7 linked regions of the Nothobranchius furzeri genome follow. The protein of the gene in region 4 interacts with the protein of the main gene of each other region in a pairwise test. Links are inferred from orthologs where the notes say so. Each region holds a gene or a part of one and is shown on either strand. Other genes may lie near its edges. The genes, in order: reep6, trim54, atpaf2, spg21, dtx2, rabac1 and s100b.

Evidence for each region.
Region 1: the proteins of spg21 (region 4) and reep6 interact in binary tests that used the Homo sapiens proteins (3 or more experiments, as listed by UniProt). The two-hybrid records come from large-scale screens. The link is inferred for Nothobranchius furzeri from reciprocal best matches to the Homo sapiens genes SPG21 and REEP6.
Region 2: the proteins of spg21 (region 4) and trim54 interact in binary tests that used the Homo sapiens proteins (3 or more experiments, as listed by UniProt). The two-hybrid records come from large-scale screens. The link is inferred for Nothobranchius furzeri from reciprocal best matches to the Homo sapiens genes SPG21 and TRIM54.
Region 3: the proteins of spg21 (region 4) and atpaf2 interact in binary tests that used the Homo sapiens proteins (3 or more experiments, as listed by UniProt). The two-hybrid records come from large-scale screens. The link is inferred for Nothobranchius furzeri from reciprocal best matches to the Homo sapiens genes SPG21 and ATPAF2.
Region 5: the proteins of spg21 (region 4) and dtx2 interact in binary tests that used the Homo sapiens proteins (3 or more experiments, as listed by UniProt). The two-hybrid records come from large-scale screens. The link is inferred for Nothobranchius furzeri from reciprocal best matches to the Homo sapiens genes SPG21 and DTX2.
Region 6: the proteins of spg21 (region 4) and rabac1 interact in binary tests that used the Homo sapiens proteins (3 or more experiments, as listed by UniProt). The two-hybrid records come from large-scale screens. The link is inferred for Nothobranchius furzeri from reciprocal best matches to the Homo sapiens genes SPG21 and RABAC1.
Region 7: the proteins of spg21 (region 4) and s100b interact in binary tests that used the Homo sapiens proteins (3 or more experiments, as listed by UniProt). The two-hybrid records come from large-scale screens. The link is inferred for Nothobranchius furzeri from reciprocal best matches to the Homo sapiens genes SPG21 and S100B.

What each region holds. Positions count from the first base shown.
Region 1 is NC_091748.1:78,701,998-78,706,454, reverse strand, and holds the start of reep6 (receptor expression-enhancing protein 6), read left to right. Parts: upstream 1-1,265; coding exon 1,266-1,398; intron 1,399-4,457. UniProt on the Homo sapiens protein: Required for correct function and survival of retinal photoreceptors. Required for retinal development.
Region 2 is NC_091742.1:14,270,601-14,274,538, forward strand, and holds part of trim54 (tripartite motif-containing protein 54), read left to right. Parts: intron 1-1,407; coding exon 1,408-1,503; intron 1,504-1,617; coding exon 1,618-1,851; intron 1,852-2,535; coding exon 2,536-2,558; intron 2,559-3,225; coding exon 3,226-3,358; 3' UTR 3,359-3,938. UniProt on the Homo sapiens protein: May bind and stabilize microtubules during myotubes formation.
Region 3 is NC_091756.1:29,843,039-29,847,739, forward strand, and holds the start of atpaf2 (ATP synthase mitochondrial F1 complex assembly factor 2), read right to left. Parts: upstream 3,052-4,701; 5' UTR 2,839-3,051; coding exon 2,721-2,838; intron 2,637-2,720; coding exon 2,592-2,636; intron 2,507-2,591; coding exon 2,358-2,506; intron 1,913-2,357; coding exon 1,815-1,912; intron 565-1,814; coding exon 484-564; intron 371-483; coding exon 258-370; intron 159-257; coding exon 43-158; intron 1-42. Other genes in the region: glucose-induced degradation protein 4 homolog, read left to right, coding at 3,417-3,608, 3,905-3,964. UniProt on the Homo sapiens protein: Plays a role in the assembly of the F1 component of the mitochondrial ATP synthase (ATPase).
Region 4 is NC_091749.1:20,260,478-20,264,945, forward strand, and holds the start of spg21 (maspardin), read left to right. Parts: upstream 1-1,634; 5' UTR 1,635-1,975; intron 1,976-2,061; coding exon 2,062-2,124; intron 2,125-4,468. UniProt on the Homo sapiens protein: May play a role as a negative regulatory factor in CD4-dependent T-cell activation.
Region 5 is NC_091750.1:69,056,176-69,060,113, forward strand, and holds part of dtx2 (probable E3 ubiquitin-protein ligase DTX2), read left to right. Parts: intron 1-1,175; coding exon 1,176-1,376; intron 1,377-2,376; coding exon 2,377-2,477; intron 2,478-2,774; coding exon 2,775-2,945; intron 2,946-3,938. UniProt on the Homo sapiens protein: Regulator of Notch signaling, a signaling pathway involved in cell-cell communications that regulates a broad spectrum of cell-fate determinations.
Region 6 is NC_091745.1:74,795,064-74,799,547, forward strand, and holds rabac1 (prenylated Rab acceptor protein 1), read right to left. Parts: upstream 3,007-4,484; 5' UTR 2,872-3,006; intron 1,881-2,871; 5' UTR 1,867-1,880; coding exon 1,745-1,866; intron 1,668-1,744; coding exon 1,455-1,667; intron 1,312-1,454; coding exon 1,214-1,311; intron 1,007-1,213; coding exon 905-1,006; intron 786-904; coding exon 697-785; 3' UTR 150-696; downstream 1-149. UniProt on the Homo sapiens protein: General Rab protein regulator required for vesicle formation from the Golgi complex. May control vesicle docking and fusion by mediating the action of Rab GTPases to the SNARE complexes.
Region 7 is NC_091743.1:84,018,511-84,022,279, forward strand, and holds s100b (protein S100-B), read left to right. Parts: upstream 1-1,433; 5' UTR 1,434-1,573; intron 1,574-1,802; 5' UTR 1,803-1,857; coding exon 1,858-1,995; intron 1,996-2,064; coding exon 2,065-2,211; 3' UTR 2,212-2,967; downstream 2,968-3,769. UniProt on the Homo sapiens protein: Small zinc- and- and calcium-binding protein that is highly expressed in astrocytes and constitutes one of the most abundant soluble proteins in brain.

The sequences.
Region 1 (4,457 bases), on a different chromosome or scaffold from region 4:
GGTCACATGTATTCTGTAAATCATGTTACGTTGATGATGACAACTATACAGGCCATACAGAGAAATGTGATTACGTTCTTTTGTCACGTTTCCTATGAGCACACTAAAACTACAGCTGCTAACCTTTACTTATTGTTACAGTCATGTCTCCATAAGCACATGTCTACAACACATGATCTCCACACGCATGTGAGGATGTGTTTCAGTTGCTAACAGGCACCAGAGGGTTACGCAATTATGAACGCTAATGCGATTTCTTCAGCCATCGTCACCCGCAAGCTACATGTAGAGAAACCTGTCCCACTTAAACGCAGGCTTTTAGCCACTCCCACCGCTGCGTCCGTCTGCTCTCACCTGTTTTCCAGGCGAGGCGCCGCTCATCTCAAACAAGGCCATTCTCACATGCTTGTGAAGGCACCCGAATGTGCGAATGGGGATATGACTGTAACACATTATAAGTAAAAGTTACCAGCTGTAGTTCTAGTGTGCTCCAAAAAAAAAAAAAAAAATATATATATATATATATATATATATAAATAAAACCATTTAAGGTTTAAAAAAACCTACATGGCCCCTTGATGTTTTGTGTTGTTTCTGCACAACTGGCATTTAAGGGCACACTCTGCAGTTTTTCTTGCTTTTAGCACCCCCTAGTGTCCATTATTAATTATCTGTGGTCCAAAATGAAACCAATCTCCTCGCTGTGCCTTTTTCTTTTTAACACCCAAATCTAATAGCTGAAATGTCTCCCCAGCCTTCTTTAGTGTCTACAGGAGTGATTCATCACTAAATTAAACAAACAACTGTGTCCATGATCTAAAACAAACATGCTGGCAGCAGCACAACAGGCGGTGGCCCAGGACTCTGAGGTATCCTGGCCACAGAGGGCGGTGGGGTCTGAGTGACATTTCACTGTTTCAAGATGCTGATTCAAAAATATGAACAACTTTGCCTTTAGGATGAGTAAATCTGTTTTGTGTTTGATGGAGAATAAAAACGAGAAATGGAGAAAAGGCAAAGACTGAAACTTTAAACAACTATATAACCATAACATAATCATCGGGGGAAGTTTTAATGTTTCTATCTAAGAATGAGACTTTTGAATGAATGATTTTGGGATTAACGGATGCTCACGAGGCACCTCCTCCCTCACCGCTCCACCTCCTCATTACAACAGATTGTTGCTGTGAGAGGATTACTACCTGCCAGCTGCCGGTCCAGGATCCTTTCCTCTCTGCTTCTCTTTGAGGACGTTGTTGGAGACCATGGGACTGCTGGGTGTTCTCACCTCCATCAAGGACCGAGCAGAAAAGTTTCTGAACGAGAAGAACGTGGTGACGGATTTTCTGGGGAAGGTGGAGGAAAAGACGGGGATCAAGAAAAAGGTCCTGGCTGTGGGTATGTGAGGAAGCTCCTGCTGTGTTCAGGTGATGAAAGGTGTCCGTGGTTCTGGGTGGATTCTGTCCAGGTGTGACACAACGGTACCTGCCTGGACGAGTCCGAGAAAAGAGGATTCAGTTAATCCTCCTGTGAGGAGATGCAGCCAAAGCTTCTGTTTATTATTCTGCATAATCGGACTTTAAACTGCCTCCTCATCTCACTTTTATGTTCCTTTCAGTTGCATCTGATTTCCTGTTTGTTGGTTTTGGTTCAAACAGAAACCCTCTGAATTTGACATCGTTAGACGTTTCCTTTTGTTGATCCGCCTTCCCCCAGACCGTGTTCTGGTGAAGGTTCCCAGCAGGTCCTGGAGTTAAAGCGGCTGAAACTCTTTATTTTCCTACAACTCGGCTCTGAGTCCCATCCTGACACAGCTTCAGAAGTCCACATTTTAGTGGCTAATCTTTATCATGCACTTCCTGTTTTAAATCCCAAACTACGGGAGTGTCTTGTGAGCTGCTTTTCCTTTAAGGAGCTCTGGCTACAGCCCGTGCCCTACAACGTTCTGCTCAAACTTAGAAAACTCCTGGGATGACAAGCAAGATGAAGTCCTGCTGTCCTGAACATTTTTATTCATCTCTGGAGCCTCTCCTCCTGTTGATTCTTACTAAACATCTGTGAAATCTTCTGAACCCTGTCTACTAAGCAGAGTGCACTTGCAGGAAGTGTGCAGTAAGGCTTCGAGTGTGCGGTATACAAGTGTGCAAATAATCGCTGAACTGGAAAAGGGAGTGTTGCGTGATCGACCGCAATGCATGCAGGGATGCTGGTCACTGAGCTACTTTTTATAAAAACCTTTATTAACAACTTTCAAACAAACAACCAAACATCCATCCGTTTTCGGCCCGCTTATTCGGGGATGGGTCACGGGGGCAGTAGTCTAACTGGGAGGCCCACCCTTCCCTCTCCCCAGCTACTTGGGCCAGCTCCTCTGGGGGAATCCTGAGACGTTCCCTGGCCAGCAGAGAGACATAGTCCCTCCAGCGTGTCCTGGGTCTTCCTTTAGATCTCCTCCCAGTCGGACCTCACCAGGGAGGCGTCCAGAAGGCATCCTAAGCAGATGCCCGAGCCACCTTAACTGGCTCCTCTCGATCGAGAAGTTGGCTCTCTGTAACAACCAATTATTTAAGTAAATTTGTTTTGTCTAAAGCATTCAGAGCATCAAATAATTATCCTACAGTGAACTACTTTTTTATTTGACTGTGCTACCTTTTTTACTTTAGTGTCTGCCCTGGGATTGGGAGATGGGGGTTCAAATCCCAATCGGGTCATTCCAAAGACTTTTAAAAAATGGGACCCAATACCTCCCAGCTTGACACCATCGACATATATATATATATATATATATATATATATATATATAGTGGACGATTCCTGTACATAGGCTCGTATGAGAAGTTTTTAATTTGAAATGGGAGGTGGCCACCACCGCCATTTTGATTGTGTCACACGTCTCGTCGCGCCCAGACAATCCCATAAAAGGGAAAAGAGGTGGAGCTGAAGGTGGGGCTGTAAGGCTGGGATCAAATGATGACACCCGTCGAACAGTGATGTAGCTACAAGCTAAACCAAAGCCAACGCGGAGGGGGGAGCTAAGCTAACAGAGGTAGCTTCCTAGCAAACTGTGCACAACACCGGAGCTTCTGAGTCGGAGATGTGCCAGGCTGACCGCTGGGTAAAACCGGGTGGAACACAGAGGTTTCCAACCGAGAGCTCCACAAGCCGGCAGCCGCGCAGCAGACAGGCGCCGCTGCGATGCGCCGAGCTGCCGCTGAGGGGAGGGGACCATACCGATAGTGGGAACCCAGCTCCACCAACATGTTATATTTCAACCCATTTTCTAAAGTGCAGCATTATGTTAAATGCACTGGGTTTTACCCTATTACATTTAAATGTCATGGTTAAACAGTACATGTTAAAATCTAAGCTCAGCTCGGCAGTGACCTAAAATACATAAATATAATTTTACTTACCGAAAAAATGAAGTGGAGACTCCTTGGACGCTCTATTAGTGCAATTAATGCCACAGCAAGTCATTTTGTCCAACAATTGCACAAAAATATCCAAAAAAGAACACAAACGCTACAACTAATGGTCTAAGTTGAGAGACGGAAAATGACGGAACAGTTTTTAAGCGAGACCGAGGCTCTACTGAGGCCTTTCCACGGAGCTAGCTCTGTGGTCACGTGGGTCTGAGGCTCATTAATTATACAGAATTTTAGACTTTTAATACACTTAAACAGAAGAGTGAGAAAAACATTCACCCCCCTCAGAGTTGTCATGAGTGTAAACTAGATCATTTAAACCAAAAACATGTTCTGGTACCAGGCTGTAAACATACCATGCCAACGTTATTTCTATAGCACAGTTTAAGACACAGCGTGAGAGCTGACCGAAGTGCTGAACAGGCAGGATCAATTAAAACAAAAGTAAAAACAATAGGACGATAAAACACAACAATAAAAACTATAAAATCCTAATAGGATGACATGGATCACTGTCTAAAAGACAAGTCATAAAAGTAGGTTTTTAAACGACATTTAAAACAGGCAGAGAGGACGCCAGCCTGACTGTACTGGGCAGTGAGTCCTAGAGCATGGGGGCAGCATGGACAAACTCACGTTCACCTCGTGATTTGTAGGCCATCCGGGGAGTGCAAAGCAGTAGACGGTCAGCTGACCTCAACATACGAGTAGGTACATATGGAGTCAGCAGGTCGGACAGATATGGAGGAGCTAGGTCGTGTAGGGCTTTAAAAACAAACATCAATATCTTAAAATGCACACGAAATGTGATGGGGAGCCAGTGAAGATGTTCCAGGACTGGTGTAATATGGCTACAGTATGTCGACTCGTGTTTGTTAAAAACCTAGCAGCGGCATTTTGGACAACCTGCAACCGGTTCAGGGCAGAGACAGGAGTTCCAACTAATAATGCATTAGCGTAGTCCAAGCGAGAGATGACGAAAGCGTGGATGACTGATTCCAAGTGCTTACTCTTTAAGATCGGTCTTAAACG
Region 2 (3,938 bases), on a different chromosome or scaffold from region 4:
GTCAGAGGGCCGTCGTCTGTGTTGGATCTGGTCTTCTGATAAATAATAAAGAGCTTTTGAATCGGATGTGGATCAGGGACGACGACGATGATGATGATGATGATGATGATGATGATGAGTGGTCGACTGTGAGGCTTCATTTCATGTTCTGTAAAACGATTTCTGTTGTTTTTCAGCTCATTCATGATTTTAATGTTAGATAAACTCCATTTACTTCATGTAGGTCGGCCGCTGTGGCTGTAAACACAGATTTTATATATAAATACAAGAAATGATTATTGAAATCACATTTTAAACTTGACTTGCTTCTCTGGTGTGTTCTTGCTGCGTTGAGTTTCAAATTCCATCTTTCAGTTCTTTTTAAAACACACAAAACGTTTACCTGATGATGTTTGCAGCCGCAAACGAAACGTTGCAGGTAAATAAACCTTTTCTGTGTTTTAAAAAGAACTGAAAGATGGAATTTATTTGCTTCTAATTAGAAACAAGACTAAGTCGTGGAGGCTAATATAAATGAATGATTTATTATATTTTATTTTATTTTAACTAAGTAGTGGAGGCATATAAATGAATGATTAATTTAATTTAATTATTTATTTTGCAGATTTGTCCAAATTTGAAATGGGGAAGTAAAACATTTTGTGGAATTTAGTTTTGTGTGTGTGTGTGTGTGTGTGTAAAAGTAAATAAAAAAATAAAAAACAACAAAAATCTACCAAACAGGAAATCAATAATTTATAAAAAAAATTATATGAAAATGTTTTAATTATTCAAATGACCAAAACTGGAAAAGAAGTTGTGATTTCTATCTGTTTTCCACAAGTTGTCCAAGGCTGGGTTGACCCAGACTTCCCTTTCTGGTCTTTCTGAAGAATTCCAAGATGTTTCCAGGAGAGAGGATTTATAATCCTGCTGGTAAGGTCCAGGTCTGCCTCAGGCTGTCCTCCCAGGGGCCCAGAAACCCTCCAGAGGAAGACGAGCAAGAACCATCCATGACAGATGCCCCAAACACCTCAGCTGACTCTCCGATGAGGAGGAGCAGCTAAGGAAACTCATCCTGGTGTCTTCCATCCAGGATCTTGTTTTGGTCATGATGACAGACACAACAGACCAAATCAGAGGTCTGCTCTCCTCCATCGCTCAGGAGCAAGATACTTTAGCTCCTTCATAGAGGCAATGACCTGTTCCAAACCCAGAGGAAGAAACCCAACTTCTTCGGGTGGAGATCCAGAACCTCGGACCTGGAGGAGCTGACCAACCCAGAACCACAGAGATTAAATGTTGAGGTTGTCAAACCAGCATTTTTTATTAAAACAGATAAAGTTAATATTAAAAACAGAGAAAACAACCAGGTTTGGTAGAGTTTCAGTTCTCATGGGAGAACTTTACTTTGTTGACTCTGTGCAGGTGGAGCTGAGTGACGGGATTGCTGTCTTGGTTGCCAGTAACGACCAAGTCCAGGCGGCCATCTCTCAGATGGAGGAAATCTGCCGCAGCATCGAGGTGACACCCACAAACACCCCCCCCCCCCCTTCCTGTTACCTAACTGATCCTACCCACATGTTCTGCATGTGGTCAAGTACATTTTCAGGTCCTTCGTCTGCGTTTTCCCTTCAGGAGAATGCTCACAGACAGAGGGAGAACCTGGCTGACCAAATCGACGACCTGATGGCAACGTTGGAGGAGAGAAAGCACGAGCTGATTGGATTCATCAGCAAACATCAGGATGACAAACTGAATCATGTGCGATCCCTCATCAGCTGGCACAGCGACCACCTGGAGACCGCCGTAGCACTGGTGGAGACGGCCGTTCGATCCATGGACGAGCCTCACATGGCTTCGTTCATCCAGGTGAGGAACACACCTGTTGCATCATGAATCAGGTGCAGAGAGGAAACAAGTCATGCTCTTATTTGTTTTATTTCAGACTGAAAGAGAAGGAGGAAAAGAAGTTATGAGTTTAGCTTATTAATATTCATGATATTCAAACGTCTCGCCTCTGATTGGCTAACAGCAACGTGACTCTTCCTCTGTTCGCTCTTTGGTAAAAATGCAGCGTTCACGTTACGTCTCCACCAACACAAAGCTGAACGTGTTCCGTCATGCTTGGATTAGCTAATGCTAACGGTTAGCTTCTACTCGCCGAGACGCTCTGCTGTCTCCTTCCTGTGGGTGGTTCTAAACCAAGGTGGGCGGGATCACGAATATGAATTTTCCCTGTGACATAGAAGAGATTGGCTTTCTCTGACCCGACTGTTGCCCCGCTGCTGATGCAGGTGACTAGGGTAGAGGAAAACGTTCAGGGTGCACGTGCAACTCACCACGACAGATCAGGTTTCTACAAGAACAGACATTAGTGAACGAGACCTGTAAAGTATGAGGTGTGTGCTCACACGTGTGTAAATGTCAAACCCTAACCCTCATGAAGCTGGGAACTTCTGGGGAACTCAGCGCACACGAACCGTTGAGGGTTGGGGAGAGCTTACAGGTGTGGCTCACACAGATAACTGAAGGAATCTTCTCCTCCATCCACAGATCTCCGATGTCCTGCTGGAACGGTGAGTGTGTGTGGTGCGAGGCTCTCATTCGGAGGTATTTAACTTCCTGTACACATTTTTTTCGATGGAGGCCATCAATTAGCATCATAAACACCAAAGCATGTCTGCACGCAGATTTTTAAAAACTGGTTTATTAAAGCAGATTTCCTGTGATTTAGAACCGCACCATTTCATCTGACCTTCAGCTGAAAAGCTTGAAGGTGATTGTGGTTTTAGTTGCTGCAGCTTTGGCACTGAGTAAACCTGCCCAGTCATCAGCTCTCACACGTGTCACCTCTGATTAATTATTGAACAGATCCAACTGTTGACATAAAAAAAACAAGCAAATCTGCTCTGCCATCGGCGGCCGCCTCGTGTGAACGACCGGGGATCTGTGTGTGTTCACTGGCTGATGGATCGAGTCAATATTGGCTTTTGACAGATTTATTATTAATCAGTGAATTTATGGGTTCCACACCGGTTTCATCTTAGAGAAAAATAACCTGTAATGAGTCGAGTGTGGAGGTTTTCATTGTTTAATTTGAGTTTTCATCGTGCAAAAGCCTTAAACATCGCTATAGTAACAAGAGTGGCTAATAAAATAAACAAAATGTTTAAAGTTTAAGCCCATTTTTATATTAAACAGCTGCAGGGCTTGAGTTTTATTTTGAAATCTGTGTTTTGACAGGATGTCAGTGGTGATGAGAACCTGGAACCTTGAGCGCCTGGAGCTCAGTTACGAGAGCATGGACCACTTCATCATCAACACGGACGACATCGCAGACTCACTGAGAAACATGGACTTCTGCTCCTGCATGTAAAGCAGAGCTGGGATTGCAGCTGAGGTTCATCCAGCAGACTCCCTCAGCACATCTTAAAGGTCCCACATCACGCTATAGAGCAAAGGTCAGCTCAGCAGATGATAAAATATTATTATTGAGATGTCCTTTTATCTTTCACATGAGTTATTTCTGTCAGCCTGAATGCATACCCGGGAAAAAGCTTTGTGTCCGTGAAGCTCCTCCCATACCTGCGCTTCCAAGATGTGCCTTCAACAGCATCTGTGATGTCTTTTGTGGTAGTCCAGGGGTTCAAGTGTGAGCTTCTTATTCTAGTTTCGCCGCGTGCTGATGTGGGTTTGAATCCCGGTGGCGGCGGCAGTAACTTATGTAGCCAGCTGAAGCAGATTTCATGTTTTAATATTTTAGTTTTGTTGATTTTTTTCAGTTAATTATTTTGTGTAAAGATCTTTGAAGCTGGTTGTTTCCTAGCAGCATTTGAGCTGATTTACTCTGCTCACCTCTCACGGACTCACACCAGCTAAATAAACAAAATAAAAACACAAATTAGTCCTTACTTTGTAAACAGTTTACCAATAAAGGGTTGAAAACATCATGCTGG
Region 3 (4,701 bases), on a different chromosome or scaffold from region 4:
CCGCAGCAAAATGAAGAAGCTGATGTTTTTGGTAATTCCTACCTGGTACTCCTCCTCCAGTCTGGAAAGCAGCACAGCTTCCTCCACACTCAGATGTCTGTCGATCATCCCCAGCGACAGAATTACAGATTTCAGCTGAGTGATCACAAACTCCAGTCCTGCTCGAAAGCAACCAGACAAAAAGTGAAGCTCAAAGTCACCACAAAAATAAATAAATCACGATCCCTTTAAAAAAAAAAAACATCTGGACTTCGTACCTGTCATGGACCAGAGGTTGTAGGAGCTCAAGTGTTGCCTGAATGTGTCTTTGGTTGCTTCTGGAATCTCAGGACCCAAAATGCTGGACGAGGATCCAACAGTGACATCGTACCTGCCATGCGGTCATGAAAGATAACCATTTAGTGCAGCATCTTGGCCGGGAGCGTTTGGATGGCTTTAACACAAGCAGATCAGCTCTGATCACAACAAAATGCTGTCTGTCACCTGTTTTCAATCCAGTGCAGCACAGGGTCCCACTCATTCTTCTGGAGCTCGACCAAACCTGGAGGCTCATCGACTCTGTAACTACACAAAACAAAACAAATAGTACGAAACTTAAAACTAATCTGCAAACAGCCACCATCAATGACAACTACTAAAATATCTAAATGACAACGTGTCTTTTCCTAATTCATTTAGATCTGAACTTTCTTGCACCTGGTTTTATGAAGGCTATTTAACACCTGGGGTAAAACTGACAGCATTTCAGGAAAAAGACATCGTCCCTGCAGTCAGACAGGGTGGTGGTAGTGTGATGGTCTGAGGCTGCTTCCTTAGCAAAACATCCTGAAGAAGAATGTCTGACCTTTGACCTTAAACAGGTAATTCATGCTGGAAAACCCTCCAATGTGGCTGATTTCAGTTTCTGTAACGAGCAGCGGGACATAAATCTTTCACAGAGATGTGAAAGCCACATGTGCTTGATGACAGCTGCTGGCTCCAAGGGTCAAATTGGTTTGGAAAGATTTAATTCTTTAATAAATGGAATCACTAATTGAAAAATGCATTTTGCATTTACTACAATAGAAATAATCAGGTGTCCACTTGCTCAACTGGCCTGTGTGCATTCACCTTTGACGGATTATGAAAATCTACTCTGCCATTCATCTGAGCTCAACTGTCTTGTGTTAAAAGCAGTGATGTATAAATATTGGTATAATGACCTTTGATCCTTACTGGATGCTTAGTTTTCCTGGTTTAGTTTCAGTTAGGCCTGGGCGATAATCAAATCATCACCCAGGCCGAATTTGTTGTTGCTGGCGATTAAAGAAAGCAAATCAAATTTTTATGTAATAGCGCCTTTTTGGCCCCCCGGAGCTTCCGTAGCATTAGTTTCACATAACCGCGACAACAACGTCACAGCACGTACACGGATGTGCAACAGCAAGTGACTCCATGGCCACCGGTGAGAGTGGGAAGTTTGTTCCTACGAGAGGAATTAAATCATCCCTTGTATGGAACTGGTTTGGGTTTGCTGCGACGGATGTGGAGCTTGGCACTTTTATTCCAAGAGGGTGATCATTTATTCATTATTCATCTCAGAAATAAGGGTAACATTTCTCTTGCTTGTGATTAAATACAAAACAAAATTGGCTTTAAGTTGCCTTCCATTTGTACTTATTGCTATTCTTAATAATTGAGGGGGAGAGAGAATCGTAAATCAAATTTAAAAAATAAAATCAGAGATTTTATTTTTGGGCTGTATAACCCTGCCGTTGTTTCAGTTATATAAACAAATGTTTTATCTGATATAGATATAAAAATAACAAGTTTACCAAACGGTGTCTGTTTCCAAATACTTCAGAGCAGCAGTGATCATCTGGTCCTTGTTGCGTTGAGTTGGATTGTCCAGAGCTGTGTTGCACAGAGTCGTCTGCAAGAAGTGTTTAGCAAGAACATCAGATCCATGATTCAGTAACTGACAGGACATAGCTATAAGCATGCATACTGTATATAATCCATAAATGGACACCTCACACTCAGCTGGACAACGCATTTCCTGGAATGTACCCTTATTACAGAGGTGAAGTCACTCGTTGTATTTAAAATTTATTTTCTCAATCAATCAATCAATCAAAATGTATTTATGAAGCGCTTTCCATACAAATGCTGCTCAAAGCACTTTACAATATTAAAAACAACCCAGCAGCCAGTTTCCCACCCCTCCCACACAGATTAACATAAGAGATCCCCTTTGTATCTCCGTCCTCCCATCCTCAATCCCGTCCCAAGCAGATGCAAACTCCCGCACACACACGCACACACGTAATAGAGAAAGGGCAGCTGGCTGACAGCTTTATGTGTGCATAGCCAAATACCAGATGCATAGTGTAGAACTTGAGCGTATCCTTCTGAGCATCCCACTCTGTTGCCACAGCGACGGCCAGGGCCTCATTAGGCACTACGAACAGGTTCCCACCTGGAGTTTTCAGTTTCCTTCTGTCAAGGTTTATCTCGTAGAGACCACCTGTACAGATTATTATTGCTATTAATATTTAGCACAACCATAAGACAGAATGATGTAAACACAGGAATGGAACATTTCCTCTTACCTTCACCTTGGGAGATGCTTACATCTTGATAAAACTTCTTCCTCTCTGGTACACAGCACAACATCGCAAAAGAAAACAGGGTTAATGAAATCGTCAGCTAAACGGATTTACTAATATTTTCCGTCTAACCTGATGTGGCGGTGGAATACTTCCGCGTACAACTGGAGTGTTGATGCCTCGGGCACACGTTGTAAAGAGAAATAACACTTCCAAATGGACTCTTGAGTCTAATAAGACTTCTAAACATGGCTCAGCGACTTTGGCGTAAGGCTAATAATAAAACAGAAACAAATCGCAAAGCTTTTTCCCACCGTTTCTCACTTAAAATAGCGCAACATCGTAAACGGAATGACATTTACATCTATCATTTACAGACTGTTTGCAGTTTTAGCATTTGTTCTCGTCTCAAGCTCCGGCGTTTCAAGCACGCTGGCTGACCTTCTTTGCGAGTTGGTTGACAGTGTCGTAAACTGTTTACTTTAGTGGGAAATGTAGTTTTTTTAGGAGCCTCTTAGTCCCTTTGCGCTGCATTACAAAAGGGGGAAAAACTACAACCAAATAGTCACGTAAATCCTTCTGCACGTTCAGCCAATAAGCGTTTAGAATCTTCGTACGGCGAACTCAGTCGACCAATCAGAGAGGTGAATGCTCCTGGCTACAGCACAGCAAGTCCACTTACTTCTCGAGCAGCTTGGTAAACTGTGCTACATTGGAATTAAGTGAAATTTGAATATCGGTGAGCGTATTCAGTAAACATTTAGCTGTTCGAAGAGGCGAACACAGTGTTTTGACCGTGGTTGGTGCTCAGCCAGCGAAGTGGGAGCCATGCCCGTCCCTGCTGGATACATCAGCGACTCACCCGCAGCGGCCTTCACATCCTCGGCCTCACTTATCCCGCCACCCCCTATAAACACTCAGCAGCCCGGCGTCGTCACTTCGCTGCTGTACAGCGGCTCTAAGTTTCGGGGCCACCAGAAAAGCAAAGGGAACTCCTACGATGTGGAGGTTGTCCTGCAGGTAGGAATTGAAGCGTGTATACAGTCATTAATGTGATGTGTCAAACCGACCGTGTGATGATTGACAGCTGAACACTCTGTCCTACCTGAATCAGACCATCATCAGTGTTGTACTTGGTCTCTAGTCAATTTTCACTAAATGCTGCTGAAAAGGTGGACTTTTTGATATGATTTTCAAAGACCAACAGGCTGTTTTAGCATGTTTATGAAACATAATCATGGGATCCATACGAATGTAGATTAAAGCACGTTTATTGCTGACTTGGATGATGAAAATCTTTTTTTTTCTTCTTAAAGCATGTCACAATGGAAGATTCCTACTTGTGTGGCTACCTGAAGATAAAAGGGCTGACAGAGGTGAGCAGGGACACGAAGTGTTTTGTTGCTTAAATTTGATTCATACTGAATTTTCTTGCCTTTAGAAAGAAAACTGTATTTCTGATTTCTCAAAAGGCCTACATCGGTTTAATCCACAATTTTCTAATTCTAGCCCATGCATGTATTTGAAATGAGACTGAAGAACTTCACCTATTAAAACTGTATTATTTCAGTTTCGCATCCTTTAAATGGCAAAGATCAGTGAGATGCAGAATATACAGATAAATAAACAAGTGCTAGATGGCTGCTTCCTGATGGAGCAAATCATTGCCATAACACTTCTAGTCTGTATGTAGTTCTCTTGAGTCTTACCTCTGCATCAGGTTTGTCTAGATTAATTGTTAACAGAAAACTATATTTTTATAAGTGTAAAGGTTACACGTAGAAGAGTGGAAGAGTCAGGATATTTTCCTGGCGGAATAAATTAGTTTTTAACACTTTACCTCTGCAGAAATCTCTGTTTCTTAAGATTATCATCTCTTTAGATCAGTAGCTTTAATTTAGGTAATGGAAGCAACATCAGCATCAGATAATTAAGGAATTTCCTAAGATCCGTTCTTGTTGTGTCCATCTGGATTCATGGTCAGACTGCTCTTGTTTTGTCTTTGTGACTAATTAAATATGAACTCTTTGGTGATCAACTGTAACCCTGACAGAATGTTTATTTCTTATTGAAACTGAACCTGGCAGATTTGCTGATACTGGCTGTGATGTTC
Region 4 (4,468 bases):
CAAGTGTCACAGGGCCAGAATCAGTAGCCTCCTTCATGATGTCATGATGTAATCACATACTTATTTAATTAATATCTTAAAAATTTTGAAATTTTGAAATTTTTTTACCTTGAACAGTTCACTGAGCTTGCACTGTCACTGAGGTGGAAGCTGGAATCAACAGCAGACACCTCACATCGTGGTCTTTTCAGGGGGTGTAGACGCTGCTCTGCGACTTTCTGGAAGATGAATTTCCATCAAGGTCCCCGTGTCACAAGACACACTGAGGCTGTGAGCTCTTCTGGCTGGCTATGTACAAAAACAAAGAAGCAGCACATTTATAAATGTTTAAAAGAGCATAAAATCATGTGTAACAATAATCTGTAAAACAAATTAAAACTAGAAGGTAATAATAAAATGTTTACATAGAAGATTATTAAAAATAATTCACCTTTGCTACGCCGGTAAAGCTTCACATCAGCCTGGACAAGTGCATTCTTGCAGCTAAATCAGTCTGACAGCCAGTGTCTTGGGTAGATTTAGCCTGAAAAAAAAAATAGAAGCACATTGTTGTTGGGAGTTTATAAAGTCAGATAAAATACAAAAGAAACTGTCCTATAAAGGTGCTTTCTAACATTCCTAGTGTGTGATCGTTGTTATAACGTAAAAGTCAGTCACATATGATGTGGAGAGCCTGAAATGCGACCTCCTGAACAGAATTCCTCACAGAACCGGGTCACAAGCTGGATTTCACACTGTAATGCTGTCTGTCAACTAGTGCTGCGTTAGTTAGAGACACTGTTGCAGAATTACCGACTGACTAGCTAAAGGAAGTGAACCACGTCTCTCGGACTTTGCATTTAGGTAGGGAATTGTCTTTAGAAGACGTTAAAACTTTATTTAGCTGACTCACCTCAGACTGGAGCCCGCCGTGGTGGGGGAGCAGAGTCGGTGGGCTGCACCTAAATCGCGGAAGAGCCACGGTGGGCACAGCCTCCCTCTTCAAACGGAGACGTGCAGAATCGCGGGTAAAATGCTGGTTGTAAACTACAGCACCAGGCGGGAGTCCAGCGGAAAGGAGTGCAACCCCACAGAGCTACCGCAACCATACTACACTACACCATCTCACCATGCTAACACGATATGGAGCACTAAACCCGAACTACTTTCCTAATTACACTAACAGCCAAACACTAACTAAACTACAATATCCAACAGCCAAGTATGTAAATAAGTATGTATAACACTAAAAGCTATGCTAAAGACTAGGATATGCTAATGCTATATGCTAATGCTGAACTACGGCTAGCCTCCTACACTCGCTTGCAAATCCAACTCCCAACTCGCCACAAGGCGTGGCCGAGACGCTCGTTGCTTTATAACTTTGACACAGAGCTGCTACGTAGTACTCTACTGGTTTACGTAGTATCTTACTCTTTAGCCATTCGCTAAAATTTATTCAAAATGAGTCAAATTCTATGTTTTAAGCTGAAGGTGGAGCTATACTGTAGTATTTAGGCAGAATTTTTAATTTTTAAAGAAAATGCACCAAAATGTTAAAATAATGAATACACACATTTAAAACACTATTAGACACTCATTTATACAGTTCATCAGCAAAAAAAAAGTTAATTTAGATGTTACTTGCTCTTTAAGCTCTCTGGCTGGGAGGGCTGCCGTTATTGAGATATTTCCCTTTTCTGACCACCAGGGGAGCTCGGGGGAGAGCTCAACAGGCACATGGGGGCGTGATTTGTCGGGGGCGTGGTTTGTCGGGGCTGCGTCTCTTCCGTTCCGCAGCTAGGAAGGTGCGCGAGGTAGGTGCGCGAGGTGGCTGCGCAGCGGAGGAATTTGCGGAAGCGTGAGAAACAAGAGTCATATGACCAAGCAGCAGCTCAAGAAAATGTTACCCTGAAATGGATAAACATTCCCGGAGACGGTGACAAATCCTCCTCTAGCAGCAGCGGCCTGAAGAGGTGCTCTGTGTATTTCTGTGGTAAGTGTCGGAGCTAGCTGTGTTAGCTAACAACACCACGGTCTCCGGGGCTGGGTGTGACCGTTTGTCTCTCTGCGTGTCCACAGATGGAGGAGATAAAGGTGTCTCCTGACTACAACTGGTTCAGAAGCACAGTTCCTCTGAAGAGAGTGAGTATGGGCGGATCGTTACTGTGTGGGTTTGATTTGTAGAAGAAAAACTGGGCCCACAGCGGATTCTGGATGAAAACCAACTCAAGTTTAAAAACCCGAGTCGGAATAGTGACCAACCAATTATGTATTTACTGTTTCGGCCTCACGTGATGAGTGACTGGATGATGACATGCCTAACAGTTAGGGACGGACTGGGACTAAACAGTCCTGGACTCTGACTAGGCCCGGCCCAAAGTAAACGGCGCGCGGAAATTCGGCAGCAAAAATATGTGGTCAAACCATCCAAATTATAGCAACGGTGCTAATGTTGACTATATGTTGTATAAAAAGCTGTATTACTGATTAGCTTAATCATTTATGCGGTTATTAATCTTACTGCACAAGTAGTACCACGTCTAAATGAAAATGCAACATTACAAATGTAACTTCTGTGTTTAAGATTTTCAAAGTTTGTGAGCATTAACTGTAACACTACTGCCAACCTTTTTACGTAAAACTACAACATGCTTCTTATTACCCAGTGCATGTGGCCTTTTACAGCTAAAGTGTTGAAATTTAGCTGTTATCATAAAATTAAATTGTAACCTAAACATGAATTTCTAACATCAATCCTTGCAAATGTTTCTCCTCTTATATTCCATGCTTACTTCCCCGGGATCTGCCTGTGGAACCAGCGCGTCTTTCTGTCCCTCATTACTGCTTGGCCTGCCTTCTTCACTGCTGTGAACCTGCTGCTAAATATGTCTGTTAATTTGTGACATTTAGAGGCTTTAGCATGTAATGCCCGCAATTATTTTTCTCTTGCTTTCTCAGCCTCACCCTTTTCTTTGCTTTTTTTTTTTTTTTTTTACTAGCAGCCGAGTTTTGCATCGTTTTTTCTACTGCCTTTGCCTCCTCTCTAATTCAGCTTCTTCTTCTCCTTGCCTGGCGGCAGCAGCCAATGTAGCTGGCATCCAACTTAGAGGTGCAGTGCTGCCACCTAGCGTGCTGGAGCGTGAAAGAGCTTTGAGGGGGGGGGGGGGGGGGGCAGGTGTTGAAAGCGTGCGTCGAGAGTGGTCTGTGATTCTCTAGAATCCACAGAGGGCCAGTCTGCCCCTGAACACAGTCACACAGCAGGCTGATCACTTCTCCAGTTTAAGTCGGGACTGTCGGTAAACCTGGAGGACAGTTGGGACGCGTGACCCTAAAGGTCTTTTATCAGCACTTTCCTGTCTTTACTTCCACTGGGTACGCCCACCATCAAAACCAGGATTGTCATCAGATGAAGTTTATGTTTGACTTGGTGCCGTACTCCCACTCTGATCCCTCTAGTTTTGATATGTTCTTTAAGACAACCAGCTTGTTTACACTTTCATGGTTCAAAGCTGTGGAAGATGACCAGAGACTATCCGCGCTGCACCGCCCTGTCCCAGCAGGTGGAGCTGGACTTCAGTGTGGACCAGCATACGACATGGCCGATTCTAGCGTTTGTACTCCATGTTTTGTTGCGTGTTCTCAGTGTTCAGTGGTGACTTGTCCAGGAAAAGACAACTGTCAGAACAAGAACAAGGCAGTAATGTGTTAAGGCAGCTTGGATGGATTAATCACCTTTTCTTTGGCTGATCAGGTTCACGTGCATCTCTATTAAAACTTGTCGTTTCCAAAATAAATCGGATTACTTGGTAAGACCTGGTTGCCCTGCTGTTTGATTATAACATCTACAGTTGTCTGGTTGAAAAACCTGCATTCTGATGCTGACAGCTGGATGGAGGCCTCAACAGGCTATAGCACCTGCTCCTCATTAGACAGTCATAATATTGTTGCTGATAGGTTTGAGGACAGTAGGGTTTATAAAGCACTAATCAGAGAGATACTTCTGACACCAGCTGCAACCCCATCCCCACCGATGGTCTATAAATAACCCTGACTAGCCGTCCTTCCCCTTTTTATTTTTGGAGGCGCATACCTTCATGGTTACCGTAATTTCTGGACTATAGCGCACCTCAATATAAGCCTCACCGGGCTAAAAGCCGCCGATATCTACTGAATTGAAAACGTAGTTAATAATAATAATAATACATTTTATTTAAAAGTGCCTTTCAGGTCACCCAAGGTCACTTTACAGGATAAGGAACACAGTACACAATAAAAATAAATATAAAACAACTAAAGGACAAGTAAACAGAATAAAATAGATGAAATCACTAACAGTAAGTTTAACTGAACGTAACTGAACTGATCAGTATCAAACAAACAGAAAAGTTATTGATTCGTTTATTCATCGTCCTCCTGTGCACTGAAACCACTGAAGTCCTCTTCTTCAGTGTCGGAGTTGAACAGCCTCAGAAGAGCTTCGTCACAT
Region 5 (3,938 bases), on a different chromosome or scaffold from region 4:
GCAGTTTCTAGACGACTTTCTGAGCAGCCTCTGTTAAGAGAAATGAAGTTCACATCTTCGGGACTGATGAGCTAACGGCTAGTCTGAATTAGTAGCTCCTGCCTGGGTCGGGCTAGCTGTTGACTCAGTCCTGTGGCATATAGATGCTATTCATCCAAACAGAGGCCCTTCCAGAAGGTTATTTATAAACTTTGGACAGAAACTGTTTATAATGTTTTGTACGTTCATGCTGCTCGGGTCAGCAGAATCATTTCATCACGTTTAAAAACGAGTCGGATAAAAGCTGGATTTAGATTTTTTCGTAAGCTTTTTAATTTTTTACGCCTAACCGGACAAATCCTGTTAACGTGACAGCGTTCGGGTGGGTCCAGTCTGGTCCGTCTGCAAGAGTTTTTATTCTGACGCCACCTTCCAGCCACGCCTTTTTGTCCCGCTGAGGTCAGGTTTGGATGCTTCGCCGAACGTTTGCAGGTAAAATATTCATCAAAGCTGCTGATTTCTATTCTTTTCTCTGCCTTTTTAATTCCTGCTGCTCGCCTTTTAATTTAGCCGGCGCGTTCCGAACAGACGGAGTAATTCCAATCAGCTCGGAGGACCGGAACCTCATTAGTGGAACGCTCCAAAGCGGGACACGAGTAAATCATTTCAAATGGAAGGTCAGCGGTGCGGCGCCGCAGATTTAATCCTCATTAGGCGGTAATGAACGTTAACGGTAACCAGAGCCAAACTTCACCGTTTGGTTTGGATAAACTTGTGATGAAAACACGACTTCCTTAAACGCCGCCGCCGTCGCCGTGCTCCATTTGTGAGCGAGTTTTCAAACTGAAGCCGGCGGAGACAGAAAACATTCTGTTTACGTTTGTGCATCTCTGATCTCATTCAGAGTGAAGGATTGTGGGTAGTCACAGCTCCAAGTTCTGGTTTTTGCTCTGACACACACACACACACACACACACACACACACACACACACACACACACACACACACACACACACACACACACACACACACACACACACACACACACACACACACACACACACACACACACACACGCCTGAGTTGCAGCGGAGGCGTCGGCCGCTGCTACGTTTCTCATTCTTTTGATTTGTTCCTTTCTGTTCCTGCATCCCTCCACTTGCTCTCCACCCTCACCCGCCTCACCCCGCTCCAGGCATGGCCTCCATTTTGATGTCAGCAGTGGGACTCGGCGTGCACTTCACCTCCGCCCCCCTCCCTCAGCAGCAGCATCAGCCGCCGCCGCCTGCTCCCTTCGCTCTTCCTCCTCCTCCTCCTCTCCTCCCCTCAGCCAGCAGACCCAACAAGCCCCACAGCAGCAGTTCAGTTAGGAGAGCAAAGAGGCAGCACAGGAGAGGTAGCTACCTCACCCAAAAATACCCATAATCCACTTCACCTCCATCCTCCTCCACCCGTCCACTCATCTCCACAGGCTTGAGGAACATCTCATCCTCCATCACGACTCGTTTCCATGCGTCCTCACTCTAATCCACCTTGCCGTTTGTTTTGCGTCCCTCGACAACGAGGATAACGCGACACAGGTGATAAAAATGTCTCACCTGTGGATTTTCAGCGGGGGTTCAGCTTTGGAGGAGAGAAAAGGTCAAACCTTTGAGCCAGCAGGACGTTTATGATAACGACGAGTTTGAGTTTGTGTTCCAGACCTCAGGTCTGCAGAAACCTCAGAGAAGCTAATGAAAAGGACAAAAAGACGAGGACAGGAGCAGCTTCAGCCGTCAGAACTTTATTTGTCCTCAAAAATACTACATTTAATAAGATTAGGAATATTCTGTGAAATTCTGGAGCCTCAGTTTAATAAATCCCTAAAAATGTCTCATTAGGTTGATTTTAGGACGTGTGAGCATCACTAGGTTTGCTTTATTTGATGGACTTGATTGGATTTTGCAACTTCTGGCTTCAGATTATAAAGAAGAAATGTTGAAAGTGATGCGTGGATATTTACAAGACGCTGCGCGCCACAAACTGTCTGTTTTCACAGTTATTTATGTGATTTATTGCAACATTTTATCGTTAATAACCAACAGATATTGGAGCTGAAAGCACTCGGTGGCTGTGGGAAGAAAAACCTTCGTTTGCCAGTTTTTCTTTCCCAACAAACTAAACGAGCTCCCTCACCATCAGAAACACGGAGACTCCCTTTAGTTCATGTTGGGTCCCGTTTCGCCGTCCATCAGCATTTCATGTGTCCTGGTTCCATTAACTTCCATCAACCCTTGACTCTTAACGTTCTTTCTGACGGCACCCTCCTACAGTAACTCACCTGATGAGTAGAAGTGCTGGAGTTGTTCGTCTCTCCAGGAGAAAAATAGTTTCATTCCATCCCGTCTGATTTTTAGTTTCAGCACATTCTCGACTTCTCTCTCCGCCAGTGCTGACTCGGAGCTCTGAGGACGTGATCCGGCGCTACATGGAGGTGGTGGCTGAGGTTCCCGAGGAGGTAAGTGTTGTTGCATTAAAGTAAACAAGTCCCAAATGTATTTAAAGGTATATTTAGACCTTCTGAAGGGAGTTTATTTCTATTTGTTGGTTTTATTTGAAGTAGAGGGAAATTGAAAAAGACAAAAGCTCTCAGGACAGCAACACAAAAACACCATTTCTCTGAACAGAGGCTGTTTTAGAACTTTTACACATAAATGCATTTCAAGATGGCTGTAATATCCCTTTAAGACACGGCTCAAGGCATGATGGGAAATGTTGTGTGAAGCTTTAACACTCGGAGACTCGTCTCTTCCAGGACTGCATCATCTGCATGGACCAGCTGTCCAGCCCGTCCAGCTACGAGACGCCGCCGTCCTCAGAGGACGGGGTTCAGAGCGTCCTGCCGGACACCGTGGGAAAGTTCATCACATGTGGACACACTCTGCACATGCTCTGCATGCTGGCCATGTACAACAACGGGACCAAGGTACGGGGGACGTTTGGGCTTTCTTAAAGCCTAAATCAGGAAGAAGCCTGCAAACAGAATCGTTGTTCATACAGTTCTTGTTCAAGTGTCCAAATTAAGACAAAGGATTCGGTTCTGTTTTGATATAGAATGTTTAAAGAAGTCCTCGATTAGATTTTCTTTAGTTAAGGCCTTTAAAATGACAGAAATCCTTCGATCCAAAGGTTCTAAAAATAGCACGGGGTATTTCCAGGCATGCATGTTAGCTCCAGGAGCAAAACGATGTTAAAGTTCGACTCTTAACGCCGTTTGTGTTTGATCAAATGTGATTAAATATCAAGTCAAAGAAATAAAAATGCATAGAATATTAAACGTTATTTTTGTTTATAAGGCAAGAATGGGGATTTGGAAACATAATGGTGTATAAATGATGGTAATCGGTATGCTATTCTAACGTTTTAGTGTAAGTTTCAGGTGTTTTGGGGGGTTGGGGTTATGACAGGGTATCTGCGGGTCCTTAAAAAGTCTTAAATTTGCTTTTCCAAATTTAAGGCCTTGAAAATCCTTAAAAATTACAAATAATCCTTAAATCCAGTTTCCAAAGGTCTTAAATTACCAAAGACCCAATAAACAAGATTCTTTTATTTCCATAAAATTTTCGTGAATTTCTAGTTTGTGTTCAGCATTTTTAGTGTACGATGTTGGCGTATGCAGAACCGTACACGTTCAGCTGGTTGTGAAAGGGGGCCATTTTTAGATGAGCACATTAGCTGGTTAAGCTAGTGGGAGCTTGCGCCATGGGGAAGTGCAGTTTTTATGGTAACTGGGTGGCTAATCCCACGTTTGCGACGTGGTTAGCACCGGTTCCAGGCAATAGCTGGAAATTATAGCTTAAATGAAATTTTAAAAATAGCTTAAATTTGGTCAAAGTGGCCTTAAAAAAGGTCTTAAATTTGGCTCCCTTAAACCTGCAGATACCCTGTATGAGCTCATGCTCCTGCCTGTACCCAAAAG
Region 6 (4,484 bases), on a different chromosome or scaffold from region 4:
GAGGAGTCGTGGGTTTGTCTTATTCAGACTGGACTGGAATAACAACACATACAGAAATATGTGCCGAGGGCCACCGAGTCCGACGCAGCGACTGCCCCGTGCGTGCACATGTACACGCCAACTCTTACGAGAATAAAACTAAAGACAAGTAACAGTAACAGAATTTATTGCACTTCCAACGTTTCAGCACAGAACGCATAATTTACAAATGAATTTCTAAAATGTGCTTTTCGTGACCTTTCCCACCAGAATGTCTGAACCAGAGCTGATCAAATAAATAAAAAGAGAAGCCACATAATGTTCAAAACTAATTAAAAAACTAAATGGCACTTGACCTTCGGACATGCGTCGATACCAGCAGTTTGGATGGTGCCGTCAGAATTTACTTTGCAGGATGCCCACAGCTAGGAATTCAGCGCAGATGCTCCGCTAAAGAGCAAGAGGCTTCATGGCACAAACCAGAGGCATCGCAGGCTTAATATATGCAGATAAAGGCGAATAATGTGCTTCAAGCAATAAGAAATTCATTATTTATGCATTTGTGTAACAACAGTTATTTATCATGCAACATAAGGTGCATTCGTAATACAATGCCATAAGGTAAACATGAGGAAGAAGGATATATGTATAGATATAAAAAAATCTTCAAGGAGATTCTCAAAGGGTCAAAACGAGGACTGATCATGGAGCAGCTCTTTAGACCGGCTCCATGAGGAGCTCATCCAGGTCCGACGCCTCCAACTCTCGGAACGCAGCATGAGAGCCGATCACAAACAGAGTTGCTCCTGACAGGAAACCACACAGAACAGGAAAAATGGATGTAAAAAGAAACGATTTTAGTTCTTAATCAAGATGAAACATCAGAAAAAGATTACGAGGAAAGAACAAATCATGTTCAGCTTACCGAGAACCCAAAACACAGCGGCTCCGGCTCCTGCCAACCAGAAAACGGGCAGAGAAACGGCTCCAGCCAGACTCATCTGGTGTGGGACTGTCAGTTCTCTGCCTGATAAACAAGAAATATGAAGAAAAATATTAAAAATAGGGTTTGTGGTGCTAAATGCAGCGTGGGTTAAATCCAGAACAGGCATGGATGACATATTTAAAAGGTTTCACACAGAATAAAAAAAAATAGACCTTGAATGTTAAAAAAAAAAAAAAACTAAATCTGGTAAATTTGAAAAGATTATGGATTTGTAGGAAATGTACTCACCGAGAACAACCAGTTTGGACTCCAGAGACTTAAGGTGGATGGCGTAGAAGGCACCAGCATACACGGCTAAGGCAATCAGCAGCATGGGCGAGCTGATACTGAGGAGCAGGAAAAATGAACAGGGCTGTCAGGCTGGAGCTATTTAAAGCAGACTGTCGACATTTTTCTAGAAGCCAGAGTCTCACAGATGATCTAATTAACATTTTTTGTTTTAATGAAGCTCTCTTTGATTAGGTCTTACATGCAGTAGAGGATGAGCCCCAGAAATATGAAGGTATAGTTGCTGTTGTAAACTTCCACATTTTTAACCACCCTCTGACACAACTCTCCAAAGTTGCGAGGTTTTGAAAATTTGCGCTGGTCTACAAAGCTGGCCCACGGTCGGATGGACAACCTGCGCCTGTCGAACCACTCCTTAGCCATGCTGGCCGAGATGCCTTTAGGAAGCCAGAGCCTATAAAAATAAACAAAATAGAATATCATCAACACACCAAAGCCAGGGTAAAAATATGAAAGCATGGTGGTTCACACCTTGAGAGGACTCCGATGCCCCCTGTGCCGGTTGGATGGGCCTCATCTGGGATGAACAAATCTCCAGCTTTGCTGTCCATGTCCACCATGACGTTCTCCCCTTTAGGCACTCCAGATAACATTTAGAGACTGTTGACTGAAACAGAATCACATTGAATGTGGACTAAACTTTTACAAAAACAATTAGCCTGGATTTACTCATTTTTATTTGATGCAACGGTGTAGCATCTTATTTAGACTTTGGTTGCGTTTCCACTCATTTTCTGGTAGATGTATTATTATTATTATTTTTTGCCTATGAAGCCCCTTATTTCTAGTCTATAAATCCTTCAGGCATAAAACATTTCTGAAACTGGTGTAGTGTAGTGTAGTGGACATTTAAATCCTATTTTTTAAATTAGAATCGATGACAAAATACCAAAGATTAAACAATTTGAGAAATTAAAAAAAGGTACTTTAGCACACACACACACACACACACACACACACACACACACACACACACACACACACACACACACAAAACGGATTCCAAAAGATATATTGACTGAAAACTTGACATATGGTCGTTTCTATAACTGCACCATTTTCATTGACCTTCAGATCTACTGTAGACACATGTTTTAACCCCAACACTTCTTATTTTATCTTTCATATTCCTCGTGTTCCCAGTAAACCTCCCTGGTTCTTAAGCTGTTTTGAAAGCAATAATCGCAAATGTCAATGGAGCTAACTTTTGATTTTTCGTATTTTAAAACGCCACATTTGACACGTCATAATCTAAAACGGTCTCAAGTGTATAAACAATCACTGTCTAATGATTACATGTCTTTCTAGTTTAATGGCGATCCTTAGTTAGAGAAACAGGAAGAAGTAGAAACAGGGCCCGGCCAGTGCCACATCACTAAATAAACAGGATAACCGAGAAACTCTCGTTACCAAACAACAGTGTCTAGAAGTAGCAATTTCAAATATAAATATTATACTCACGACGAGTCTATTTAAAACCTGAATGTAAATGTAAAATGCTAGCTTATGAGCTAATGTTTACGTCTACTTCCGGATTTTATTTAACGTCAACGTAATTTTCACTTGTTTTTAAAATAAGAATTTAAATTACAACATACCTGCCAAAATGCTAAACCCTTAAATCATTCACCAAAATGTAGGCAGAAGTTTCACCAGACAGCCTGAGCTGTCTTTTGTTGCTGTTCTGGATCTCGGAAGTGATGTGGCTGCTGGAGAAGAAGAAAAAACTTCCTACTTCGCTGACTCTAGGCAGGGCCACCTACTGGCTACATAGAGTACTTCGAATTTTGTGTTACACAACACAGGTGGAACTTTTCATTTGTATTACTTTTTATTTTATTTATTTATTTTTTTGCATTATTTTTACTTCATCCAAAAAACGGAGTTTTTTCTCTTAACAGCCGAAAACACATCTGTTGAAAAAGCCGACCTGAGATCGGCTGCCTGTTTTCTGCGGTGGCTGCTCAAAACCACACAAGCACGAAAAACTGACTGCAGATCAGAAATGGTAAAAACGTGACCTTACGTCATGTAACAAACAAAGAGGCTGTGATTGGTAGATAGACGAGTGTTGTGGTGCTGCCGTCACTGGGCACGCGGCACTGTGGAAGTTGCTAGATCCGCCAGCGAAAGAAAGGAAACAAACATTAGAAGGTGAGGCGCTATTAATTATCTTATCAAATTTAGCTGTTGGAATGTTTTTACGTGTTGTTAAATGTAATCTTCAGACCTTGGGGTTTATGACAGTTCTGTTTTTGTTAGTCATTAATAAAGTAACGTTTCAATGCTAAAACAAAATGTACGCGTTTTTTTTTACAAATGCACTAAAGGGGGACACAGCGCCATAGCAGCATATTAGCCTACGCTGGCTCCGTTAGCTTTAGCTTATTCGGCTCTTTAGCTTACTCAGCTCAACAGCTGTCCTGGCTGGGTGTTTAATGACCGTTTTTTTCTCCACAGAAACCGTGACAGGATACATAAACTCGTATAAAGCGTAAAACCGTAACACAAGAGGAACGAGTCGTTTCAGGAGCCTCCAGCTGCTTTCATACACATTTTGCCTGAAGATAAAAACGACACCGCTGACTGGTTCGTGTGTGTGGAGAGCGTCAAGCTGAAACGGTAAAAGGCAGGAATGTTCAGCTCCACACACACTGAGCTCACGTACATTAACATTTTATATCCTGACTCCCGAGGAAAATACATTTCTATGTCATATTTTTTCAAAATCTCACATATATATTATAACTTAGTCGACTATAAGTATAAATAATGTCAGAAAATATGGTGTAAATAGTTGCATTTTCCCCAAAAAAGCTAATTATATTTTATATTTTTGTTTAATTTCCAATAACAATCAGTATTAATAGATTATTTAAAAAAATGCTCAACAAAATAGGGTAAATAACAGCAAATAAACCAAACTGGAGAACGTTTATTCAAACAATTGATAATTGTGTTAAAATATTGCTAAATTACTAAATTAGGTTAACATCCCCCAAAACTTCCTAACTTCCTAATATCTCCCAAAATAGCTTGAAAATGAGTTTTCTTCTTTTCTTTTTTTTTTTTTTTTTTGACAAAAGTTGCTTTTAAGAACCTCGTTTTCCTTAAATAGTAAGTGGAAGTCCTTCAAGCCCTTTCTCTAAAGATTTATGAGTTGTATCTGGAGTATGCATGAGGTCGGAGATTTTTCCAAAAGACAGGAAAA
Region 7 (3,769 bases), on a different chromosome or scaffold from region 4:
ACTGAAGAAAACGTAACTTCTATCAGCAAAATAAAGTAAAAAAAATGATTAAATGAAGTAGGAAAGCAGGAAATTTTTACATTTTTCATTTCGTTTCATGGCGTTTGTCTACTTTTTTTCTGGGAAAGACGACTCTGTGCATGCTCAACCTATTTAATCTGATTGAATACTTGGTGCATACAAACTCACGGCATGGTCGGATCATTTTAGTTAGTGCGCATGTAAACAGAGATTCTGGATTTCCCATCAGCCAAGATTTGAATCGGATTGGGGAAGTTTGGCGCATGTAAACGTGGCTACTGGTGAGGTAAGGTCTTACTTGAACACAAAAATACTGCTTGCTTGCAATGATGTGGGTATGCACTGCCCGCTATAGACAAAGAAAATACACACCGTCACTTTAAGTAATGCATTACTCAGCAGACCCCCACCCCACCCCACCCTGGCCCTTTGTCCTTAAGGACACTTAATAGTTAATGGGAATGAAAATGAAGGGATCCTTTGTTTATCAATGCTTACGTAACTGTATTATTGTAAAGATTTACCAAGTAAATAAGTAAACAGGTGAGTCTTAATTAGCTTGACATGAATCCTGACCCAAAGGGAATAAAAATCTGCTGGATCAGGAACATCTGGGATCAACTCCTCCTCTTCCCCAGAGTCTCGCTGTAAATGAATCAGGCTGATGAACGACAGGCAGTGTTTTGTCTGCAGCTTCCTGGACGGCGGTTTGATTCCCAGCACAACGTTTCAGTGTTTGAAGTGAACAATGAGCCAGTCTGCAGCCGTCCGTCCTCATCGGGCGCTGTTTATCATCGCACAAAGACGCCGTTTGTGCTGGCATACACAGCCCTGTCTCTCCTGCACGGGGCGAGTGAGGTGCAAGGTCAAAGGTCACCGGGTTTAACAAGGCTGTGCGGGGAGGTCAGCACATCTGCCACAAGTTTTACCTGCTCACCGATGGTGATCCCAGAAGAGATGTCTGACACTTTCAGCTTGTTGTGTGTGTGTGTGTGTGTGTGTGTGTGCGTGCGTGCGTGCGTGCGTGCGTGCGTGCGTGTGTGTGTGTGTGTGTTCATTGAGATGCACAGCCACGCTCTTCCTCTGAAACCAGCTTTGTGGAGGGGAGGTGGAACCGGGTCACAGAACCAGAACTGATCCAACTCTCCTCTTTTACAGATCAGGATTTTAATACCTGAGCTGTAAAACTCTGCAGGTTAAAGTTTTTCTCATTTAGACGTTTCAAATAATGTTTCTGTAGTTTTATCTAAAAGCAACAATTTTCATCGGACATCAGAGACATTTAAACACAAATGAGATACAAAAAATAAAAAAACTGTGACACAAAAGTTTTGTTTAGTTCCTGCTCTGGTCCGAGACCAGAGATCCCGGTTCTGAGCGGCGGTCCGGTGGAGTGAGTGGGGGTGGTTCCGCCTCATTGGTCAGCGGGTTGACCGACAGGATTGCTGATCTCAGATCTGCTCCTCCCGGCTCCACCAGGCTGCTGCAGTATAAAACCTGCAGCCTGAGTCTGCGGACACACACGCTGTGCAGGAACACACACACACCAACGGTGAGTTCATCACACCCACACACACTTTTACTGTAGATTATGGGATGCTGCTGGATCCGCAGCCACGTGCTGATGAGCTTTAGGTTCTGGTCGAATTTATTGAGAACATGGTGGAGGCTTTATCCTATCAGCTGATTTACATCGATGTCATCGTAGCTTTGTTCCACACGTATGATGTCCCGCATCATGTGTCTGTTCGTATCACATCTGTATGACATGTCTTTTATAGACACGAAGGTTTTTACACGTTCATCCCTGGAGCTGAAAACATCTGTCAGGAGACGATGAGCGAACTGGAAAACGCCATGGCGACCATCATCGCCGTGTTCCAGAAGTACTCCGAGCGAGAAGGGGACAAACACAAGTTGAAGAAGAGCGAGCTGAAGGATCTGCTTCATGACGAGCTGCCAGACCTGATGGCGGTGAGAGGGTTGGGGTCAGAGGTCATGATGAGAACGGTGGCTCTCCTATAAACCTGTGTGTCTCTGCAGCATGTGAAGGACCAGTCCACCCTGGACAGCCTGATGGAGAGCCTGGACACAGACGGAGACTCTGAGTGCAACTTCCAGGAGTTCATGGCATTCGTCTCCGTGGTTACCGCCTGTTGCCATGAGTTCTTTGTACATGAGGACGAATGAGGACACGGAGACAAAAGAGAGCAGAAACTGTGGAGACATTAGACTAGTCCAGACCAGAGGTAGCCTCACCTAGAACTAGTTTAAATCTGGCTAATCTGGTTTAAACTCAGTTATTCCAGTGCTTTAGAAGCTTTACTCCTTACATTTGATGTTGGTATTAAAGACTAACAAGTTTTATTTTGTCCAGTTTCTGATTTTAAGAATTTCTGGAAATTTTAAAGAATAAAAGCATTTCGGACAATTTGTATAAAAGGATACATTTTCTAAAATGTCTGATTTTGGTTTAAAAATATCAGAAAATTTAACAAAAAGCTAATTTATTTAAAAATTGGTGGTCAGAAGGTTTGTTTGTTTTTATTTTGGTGGGTGTGGTTGATTAAATTCCAATTTGAAACATGTAGGATAAAAGAATCAAGCAACATATTTTGCTCTTGAATAATGTTATTTTATCATTTCCAGCTAATCTGACATCTGATGTTTCTATTTAATTTAATAGATTTAAACGTAGTTTTGTTCAAATGAACACAATTTGGTTTAAAGTTTCAGTTATTTGATGTTTTCTTGTTTAAAATGTTTAACAAACTATTTAATTTCTCATGTTATTTTAGAAACTTGCATTTTCACAATGAAGAAGTTTAAGCAGAAGATTTTTCTAACTTTATTTTGTAGTTTTAGTTTTGTTTACTGCAGGTCATTTTTTTTGTTTGCTTGTTTTAGTTAAAAAAATCTGAAAATAAAAATGTGGATGAAAACAGACGAGTTTAAATGTTTGTCTGAATATTGGTGAAATTAAATATAATAAAACAATAACAAATTGTGATTTTTTTAAAAATCATTTTGGTTTGTTTGCTTTTCTAATTTTAAACCTAAACAGAATAAATTTTGCCTTGTTTCAAATTCTTAGTAGATCGATACTGACTTTTTACATGATTCGGGAATCGTTTCATGTTTTTTGTTTTGTAAGAATATTAATTTTTAAAAATACAGATAATTAATTAATGCAATGCATGAAAAAATAGTTGTAATACCTCCTGACAAAATTTGTAAAACATGTATGAAGTTTAAAAAAATACTTTTAAGCAATCTTAATTGGCATTAAAATGTATATTTTATTTAAATATGTAAGTATTTATTTATTTATTTATTTATTTATTTATTATTTATTTATTATTTAGGGAAACATGGTGTTTCGAAGGATCTTTCATGGCGGTTAAAACGAAGAGTCGGAGTACCCGGCCCGGAGGGTTACCGGGGTCCCACCCTGGAGCCAGGCCTGGGGTTGGGGCCCGTGAGCGAGCGCCTGGTGGCCGGGCTTTCGCCCATGGGGCCCGGCCGGGCCCAGCCCGAACCGGATACATGGGCTCGTCCAACTGTGGACCCACCACCCGCAGGAGGAACATGAAGGGTCCGGTGCAATGCGAATCGGGTGGCAGACCAAGGCGGGAGCCTTGGCGGTCCAATCCCCGGACAAGAAAACTAGTTTTTGGGACATGGAACGTCACCTCGCTGGCGGGGAAGGAGCCGGAGCTTGTGGCAGAGGTTGAGCGGAACCGGCTAG